Linked DNA regions of Macaca mulatta. The protein of the gene in region 1 interacts with the protein of each later gene in a biochemical or structural test. Links are inferred from orthologs where the notes say so. Each region holds a gene or a part of one and is shown in the gene's direction. Other genes may lie near its edges. The genes, in order: COIL and VRK1.

Region 1 (4,360 bases):
TACAATCAAGAAGTAACTATAAGTATACTTGACTGAGTATACTTATAGTACGGGCTTGCTGCTCTGCCTATGGAGTTAGCCATTCTTTTATTCCTTTAATTCTCTAATAAACTTGCTTTTGGTCAGAGGTGGTGGCTCACGCCTGTAACCCCACCACTTTGGGAGGCCAAGGCAGGCAGATTGCTTGAATTCAGGAATTCAAGACCAGCCTGGCCACCATGGAAAAACCCCATCTCTACAAAAATTACAAAAAGTAACTGAGCACGGTGGCTGACGCCTGTGGCTCCAGTTACTAGGGAGGCTGAGGTGGGGAGTCACTTGAACCTGGGAGGCAGAGATTGCACCACTGCACTCCAGCCTGGGTGACAGAGTGAGACTCTAAAAAAAAAAATCCAAAAAACCCTACTTTCCATTAAGAAATTTTGTTTCATCTACTGACTCCCTGATATCTACAACTTAACTAGTCTAGTGAACTTGGGGAAGTTACATTTTTTTTTTTAAGACAGAATCTTGCTTTGTTGCCCAGGCTGGAGTGCAGTGGCACGATCTTGACTCACTGCAACCTCCACCTCTTGGGTTCAAGCGATTCTACTGCCTCAGTCTCCCAAGTACCTGGAATTATAGGCACATGCCACCAAACCCCGCTAATTTTTTATTTTCAGTAGAGTTGGGGTTTCACCATTTTGGCCAGGGTGGTTTCAAACTCCTGGTCTCAAGAGATCCGCCCACCTTGGCCTCTCAGAGTGCTGGGATTACAGTCGTCAGCCACTGCTCCTGGCCTCTAGTTACTTCTTAAACTCTCTGAACCTTGTTTTTTTTAAATCCTCTAAATGAGGATAATAGTTCATAATTCCTAACTTTTGTCATGAAAATTAAAGAGTTAATATATATTATGTGGAGAAATGTAAATTCTAGTTCAAAAAATATAAGAAATAATGTAAATTCTGATTTACTTATCTGGTGAGAAATGCAAGGACATTTTTCTTTGGTTGTGGGTATTAAAAGGCTAAGGTATTTATATTCCACTGGATACATTTGGAAGAATGATTACCAGTTTTATTTCAAAATTTCAACATTGAGAACACACTAGGACTTACATCTTTTTCAACTCATGATGAAAAATTTTGTCAGTGAAATGTGTTGTTACGATTGTTTTATAAAAATCTTTTATGTCGATGAGCAAATATCTTAGACCACTGCTGAGGAGAAATGTTATTTATCCAGAGACTTGCCTTAATTAGGAGACCCTACATAGCGCCCAGTAGAAATGTAATAAAGGCATTTCACTTATTCCCTTTCTCAGCCCTGCCGTGAACAAACTTGAATGAAAAAAATCAACCACGCTCCGAGTGCGCGCCTAGACGCAGCCTGTAGTAGTCAGGTTCCACCACTAGGTGGCACACGCCAAAGGCTCCGGGGGGCGGGCCGCCCGAGCACGCCTCTCGGTAGCCCCGTGGTATCTCTCGGCTTCCGTTGAGCACCGAGCAAGATGGCAGCTTCCGAGACGGTTAGGCTACGGCTTCAATTTGATTACCCGCCTCCAGCTACCCCGCACTGTACGGCCTTCTGGCTTCTGGTCGACTTGAACAGATGCCGAGTCGTCACAGATCTCATTAGTCTCATCCGCCAGCGCTTCGGCTTCAGTTCTGGGGCCCTCCTAGGCCTCTACCTGGAGGGGGGGCTCCTGCCCCCCGCCGAGAGCGCGCGCCTGGTGAGAGACAACGACTGCCTCAGGTGCGCGGCGCAGGGAGCGGGACGGCCGGGTGGGCGGTGGGAGGGGGACGCGCCTGCGCACGCCCGGGCTTGAGGCCGCTAGACCTGGTTGTGGAGGGCATGGGGAATGGGGAAGGGGACGAGGGTTAGAGGGGGTGGGGCTGTAAAAATGCACGTTCGCTAACCCGGGAGATACTGATTGGTGTAGTCAACTTTGGGGCTCAGGAATCACATTTTATTATTTATTTATTCATTTGAGACAGAGTCCTGCTTTGTCGCCCAGGCTGGAGTACAGTGGCGTGATCTCGGTTTACTGCAACCGCCGCCTCCCGGGTTCGAGCAGTTTTCCTGCCTCAGCCTCCCGAGTGGCTGGGACAACAGGCGTCCGCCACCACACCCAGCTAATTTTTGTATTTTTAGTAGAGATGGAGTTTTACCACAGTGGTCTAGGTGGTCTCGAGCTCTTGACCTCAGGTGATCCGCCAGCCTTGGCCTCTCAAAGTGCTGGGATTACAGGCGTGAGCCACCCCACCCTGCCCCTATTATTTTTATTTTTGAGACTGAGTCTCGTTCTGTTACCCAGGCTGAAGTGCAGTGGCGCGATCTCAGCTCACTACAACCTCCACCTCCCGGATTCAGTTGATCCTCCCACCTCAGCCTCCTGAGTAGCTGGGATTACAGGCGTTCACCACCATGCCCAGCTAATTTTGTTGTTGTTGTTGTTGTTGTATTTTTAGTAGAGACAGGGTTCACCATGTTGGCCAGGCTGGTCTTGAACTCCTGACCTTAAGTGATCTTCCCGGCTTTCCAAAGTGCTGGAATTAACAGGCGTGAGCCTCTGCGCCTGGCCGGAATCTGCATTGTAACCAGCAACCTCCCCGGGATGCTTCTATGACAGGAGAATCAAACTTGGAAAAACCCTGATGCCTAAGGGCAGGGCCAGGGTTTCTTTCAGCCTTGATTTAGCACATCCACGCTTAGCTAGGCACTGTGGGACTCTGTTCCGTGTCCATGGTGCAAATGTGCGGGAGACCCGGCCTTACCCTTGGTGGCCTTCACGGTCAGGTGCAGGAGACACAAGCTGATAAAGGGGAATCGTCGCGTTTTCTTTGTAACATGCTGTTGTCCAGCCTTAGTTCTCTTGTGCCCGGTGTCCCCTGAGACTTCTGGTGGCGTATCATTTTGTGTCTCACCCAGACATTTTGGGGTTTTCTCAAATAAGTGTCTTGAGTCCTTTTGGGCTGTAAATTGGGAACCACAAAATAATCTTAAATGTGCTTTTGGAAGTTAAAAAAATGATAATGAGGTGAGTATCCAGGAGCAATTGTAGTATGAATTGCTGAAATGTGGTTGAGTTGCCACAGTCAGATGATGGTATCACCAGTTTGGATTCATGTCTTGGACCGATTTATTCAGGCTTTTTTTTTTTTTTTTCTTTTTTAAACAAAGAGACTGGGTTTCCCATGCCCAGGCTGGAGTGCAGTGGTGCGGTCATAGCTTGCTGTAGCCTCGACCTCCTGGGCACAGGCAATCCTCCCACCTCAGCCTCCCAAGTAGTTGGGACTTCAGGCTAGGCAACCACGCCTGGCTAGTTTTTGTATTTGTTGTAGAGACAGGGTTTTGCCATGTTACCCAGGCTGATCTCAAATCCTTGGGCTCCAGCTGTCCTCTCTTCTCAGCCTCCCAAAGCACTGGGATTACAGGCGTGAGCCACTGTGCCAGCCTTCCTTCCCCCCACCCCCTTTAAGCTTCAGCTACAGTGAATTAATTCCAGAGTTGTGAACCAGGCTATTTTCTCTTGCTGCCCTTTGTTGTTGAATATTCCTTACCCTCAAGCATATCAGATTCTGTAAGATTTCTTCAGAACATCAAGGAATTTAATTTGGAACAATAACTGCATCTTCAAATCAGGATGTTATGATTTATTGCATAATGTTCAACTGTTTCAAATGACAATTTGAAATAATCCGAATTTCAAAGAGTTTTTCCCCCCTTTTTATCGACTGTGAAATAGGTCTCTATTCTCTCTGCAATTGAAGGATTATTTAAATATTACAATTCTAAGGATTGTGTCCCATCCTATTAAGATTACTTTCTGAACTGTCCCTTGACTAATGAGTTAATAACTTGTGCTAGCTAACTAGAATTATACTTTAATGAATCATCTGGGCATTACATTCTTCATAATGAAGTTAACAATGACAAAAACCATGAAAATTGTTATAAGTAATAATTACAACACGATGACAGGCAAATCCTTCCTAAATACTTCAAATGCACAGCTGCATGTGGCAAAAAAATACCTCTGTAGTGGCTTCTGTGGCAAATGGGCAGACTATAGAAAAAGATGAATCTGGAAAATTCATCTTTATTTTTGTTGTTTTATGCCCGCAATCATTGTTTTTTCCTAACAGATTCACTTTTCTTCAGAGCTACAGAAGAAAACATAGTCTCTGTTCTCAAAGTACCCAATATCGTTGGACTGGGACCCCAATAATGAGTTTCATGCTTTTGTATATTACCTTCTGTGATACGGGCAATTAGACTGAATAGTTAAACCAAGTTATACTGGTAAGTGCAGAAGCTGGTTGAGAAAAGGGAGATCAGCATGGAACAAAATGGTCAGGGAATTGAGCAGTACCTTGAA
Region 2 (4,384 bases), on another chromosome or scaffold:
TTTTTCCTCCAGTCTTCTGTGGGGTTCTCCACTGAGCACACCCTAAAGCCAGGGAGCCCAGGGAGCCCAGGGAGCCCTGGGAGCGTGAAGCAATTTGTAGAGGTCAGCCTCCCGGGGCAGAGGGCAGGCAGGAGAAGTATTTGGAGCATACGCAGATGAGGGTATCTGGAGGGGAAAATGTAAGACATCAGGCACTATACTGAACTGTCTAATGGACAGAGTGATTTCAGGTTTTGTAGGGACTGAAGTTCACGTAATTTTGGAGGATCTACTTTAAGAAAAATCAGCTGGGTGTGGCGGCTCATGCCTGTAACTCTAGTGCTTTGGGAGGCCGAGGTGGGGTGGATTGCTTGAGCTCAGGAGGGCAAGACCAGCCTGGGCAACATGGTCAAACCCTGTGTCTACAAAAAATACAAAAATTAGCCAGGAGTGGTGGCCTGTGCCTGTAATCCCAGCTACTTGGGGGGTTGAGGTGGGAGGATTGCTTGAGCCCAGGGGGTCGCGGCTGCAGTGAACGGAGATTGCGCCAAAGCACTGCAGCCTGGGTGACAAAGTGAGATTCTATCTTAAGAAAAAAAAAAAAAGAAAAGTAAAATTGACAAATAAAAAGCAAAAAGCTATGTAAACTCATTGAAGGACCTGCGCAAGTGAGGTCCTGAAGCTTACGCTTCATTGGCTTCATTGTTAATCTCCCTCTGCCTGTGACTTCAGTGATTTTGACCTAGAACAGTGACCCAGTGCCCAATAAGCTTTCAGTCTCATGGATGATGGAGACTTAGCTGAGTATAATAAACACAATGCAAACTGTGGCATACGTTGATTACAGGTGAAACACTGCAGAGGATTAGGTAGACATTGAGATAGGCTTTGAAATAGGCTTCGAAAAACAGTAGGATTTAGACACATGTCAATGATTGGGCAGAATAATACTAATACTATCTGCTATTTATTGAGCACCAACTAAGTTTAAAGTACTGTCTATAGATTATTTCATTTAATCCTAACAGAAACAGGAAACTTATTTTACATCCAACTCTCTGCCAACACAATAAATCAAGCTACTAAGAACAGGGCTGTAAACCATATTTCCTAGAATGCTAGGGAGCAGAAGGACGGGGATCTCCCTTTGCCGCTAAGAGACTCCAACTCCCAGGATGCCTTGGGAGCGCTGGACCACAGCTCCCGGCATTCCCGGGGAGGCGCGGGGCTAGCGTAGCCTCCGTCCCGCCCCGCCGCGTTCCCGCTCGTCCCGCCCCTCCCGTCGCCTCCGAGCCAATGGGAAGGCTCCATACTGCAGGGTGCCAAGGGGCCGGCGCCGCTGCCGAGTTGCGAGTCGGCGAAAGCGGCGGGAAGTTCGTACTGGGCGGAAGGTGACGGCTCTGCGACTTAGGGTAGGGAGGCCGCAGGCGACACTGCTCGAGGACTCGCGCGCCTAGCTGGGGGCGCGGAGGAGGGCGGCCGGGGGCTGGGCCGGCACTGGGCCTTCCGGGCGGTCTGTGGGTCCGCCGGGGTGCGGAAGGCGCCGTCAGCCCTGGCTGCCCCGCGGGACCGCGCTCCGCCGCGTGGCTTCCGCCTGCGCGGGCGTTCACTCTTTGCTTGTCTCGCTCAGGCCCCGCTGGCGATCCCGGGGATTCCTGGACTGGCCAGGCCGGCCCCCATCTGAGCTCCACGTTCTGGACGCGCGTGGTGTCGCGGCCGAGCTCGCAAACGCCGCCTCGGGCGTCGCCGGGAAGCTGGGTCTGTCAGGCGGGGCCCCTGCCCCGCGGAGCTCGCTGTCTACTAGGGAAACAACACACGCAGCTGCGATGCTTTGCGGATACGGACATGCTTTCTTAGAAACGGGACAGGCAGTTGCGGGCTAGAGGAATGGGCGCGAGGCTCTTTAGGTTAGGTGATCCGGAAGGTCATCTCAGAGGATGTGACCTTTGACTTGAAACCTGAGAGGGAAGAGAGAGGCTGACCCCTGAGGATAGCAGCCAGGCCTGGGGACCGCGAGGCCGCCCGTTATTTCCCTGTCACGTCGCGGGGAGGCCCCGTGGTCTTGTACTTGAGGGTCTGTCTGGTGCAAGGCAGTTAGAGCCGCTTGTGGGTTTTGCAAAGGACTTTCGTATCCCGTTTGACAGTTCCTCCTCTGTTCTGTCCCTACCTGGCAGGGTGGCATCCTTTACTGTTGCAGCTCCTTTCAAGGGCAACGCATAGTTTTTCCTGCCACCGAAATAGTATTTTGGTTCTCGTCTCAAAACTCTTAGGTGATTGAATTAAATTCGACAGACAGCAGCGGAGTCAGACACTACAGGTTCCTGTTGAGGCCACCCATTTTTCTGATGTCCTTTCTTTCAAGTCACCCATTTTTGTTTTCCTTTGTATAGGCTCTTGCCTTCCCTCTTCTGTGTCCCTTTCTTGGAACAACTTGGAAACACCAGTTTTGCTATTGGGAGGATGTTTTAGGGAACTGTTGAAGAACCTCATTAATTACTGTGTGTGTGTTTTTCTTTTCTTTTCTTTTCTTTTTTTTTTTTTAAATTGGAATTGCCCATCTGTTGAATCTGAAATTCAAAAGAGTAAAAAAAATGTAGGGCAGCATTTATTTTCAAGAGTTCGCAATAAAGGCACCTTTCTTTATGACATGCTGAGCATGATACTTTGGGGGAGAATTTAATCTAGAATTTTGAAGCATTTTCAGAAGGAAGCAAGGGTTCTTTATATAGTCTTTATGTAGGTTACGTTTATGTTCTTCAAAATGGCATGTAGTGATTGGAATTACATTTCTGGGTGGATATTATTATGTTCATCTGTTACCTATAGAAAGGAATATAACTTAGTCACTTAATAATAGCTTTCTCTGTTGATGCTACCACAGATGGTATTCTCTACATCTCAACATTGCTGATCAGATTCTGTGTTAATACAGTAACACAACTTGAATTTAATAACAATAAACTTGTGTTAGGCGTTACTGTCAATTTAGTTCTGGTATCTAGTACAAATACCAGCTTTATAGTGCAATGGCTTCTTGTTATGCTCAGTGCTGCAAAAATTATGAGAGGATATTTGTTAAACAAATGAGATAATGGAGTAATGTGTTAAGCATAGAGCCTGGCATATAGTAAGTTAGTAAGTGCCCAGGAAATGGTTATATGGAAAGCTTATGCTAAGTTTTATTCCAGTATGCAAGTGTATATTTTAAAAATAACAGTAATGCATTCAAAATGTTGACAGACCCTAAAATTAAATTTCTTAAAGGAAATAGGCCAGCTTTTTTTTTTTTTTTAACTTTGAGAACTAATGTGAAATAATAATAAATATATAAGTGAAATGTCCCAGATGTCTAGAAATGAAAAAACAAGATTTTAATTTTGACAGCTATATTTTTTTTTCTTAAAAGCATCCCTAATAAGATATAATGTACTATGATTAGGATTATGATTTGAAAAATAAAACTTTAAAAATATTTTTGATTTGAAAAATAAAACTTATTTGGAAATGAAGCGAAGCTTTAAGATTTACCTTATATCAAATGAAGGATGTCTCCTGAATTTATGCAAATGTGCAAATGCTTATATCTCCATAGATCAGGCAGTGAGCCTAATGGGAATTAAATGCTCCCTCTTTGTGCGTGTGAGTGAGGCTTTCATGAAAATTGCTCTTGATGGGTTCTGAGAATGGATTGGTAACTGAATAGGACTGGAGAATATTTTTCAGACTGGTAGGATATTTTACATGCTTGCCAGGGTTATTTTTCGGAGAAGAAATGGACTCATTTATTCACCAGAGATCACGTGCCCCCTATTTGCAAGGAATTGTGCTAGGTGCAAAGTCTGTTCTTGCTATTGTAGTGTTTTGCCAAAGCAAGTTTTCTTTGTTTTAAATTAATGTGTGTCTGTTTTGTTTTTTTTTTTTAAACTTTATCTAGCATCCAGCACAGAATAATCCAATAAATGTGTAGAGCACATTTGAAAAACTGTACTATTAATGTTAAAATGTAGAAAATGTTTAATAAAGGTGCAAGATTAATTTAAAAGGGTGATAGAACCCTAATAAAACATTTAGGTAGGTGTTGTAACCAAGATGTAATTTTACTGTAGGATAAGTTTGGCTCCTTTGATCAAAATTCCTGTGAATCTATTTCTCATTGCCATTATAAAGATGCAGAGGGCTGTGTCCTTTGAATTTTTTTCCCTTTGGTGCTTGAATGATATTTAAGCATCCAGCATTCCGAAGTTGCTATTTTGAAGTAATTTCATGCACTTTCCCAATTACTCCTGCTCCATCTCTCCCAATGTTGTCTTAAATCTTTGCACTCAAATTCAAGCACATCCTACTATTCTTGTTCTGAGTGACATATGGGCAACACTTTGAAAAAGAAAAGCTCTCTAGAAAATCT

What was found.
Region 2: of the proteins of COIL (region 1) and VRK1, one has a biochemical effect on the other in vitro, tested with the Homo sapiens proteins (2 studies listed by BioGRID and IntAct, with this or other methods). The link is inferred for Macaca mulatta from reciprocal best matches to the Homo sapiens genes COIL and VRK1.

Annotation. Positions count from the first base shown.
Region 1 is NC_133421.1:53,038,754-53,043,113, forward strand, and holds the start of COIL (coilin), read left to right. Parts: upstream 1-1,481; 5' UTR 1,482-1,489; coding exon 1,490-1,734; intron 1,735-4,360. UniProt on the Homo sapiens protein: Component of nuclear coiled bodies, also known as Cajal bodies or CBs, which are involved in the modification and assembly of nucleoplasmic snRNPs.
Region 2 is NC_133412.1:170,104,604-170,108,987, forward strand, and holds the start of VRK1 (serine/threonine-protein kinase VRK1), read left to right. Parts: upstream 1-1,302; 5' UTR 1,303-1,391; intron 1,392-1,562; exon of another isoform or gene 1,563-1,737; intron 1,738-4,384. UniProt on the Homo sapiens protein: Serine/threonine kinase involved in the regulation of key cellular processes including the cell cycle, nuclear condensation, transcription regulation, and DNA damage response.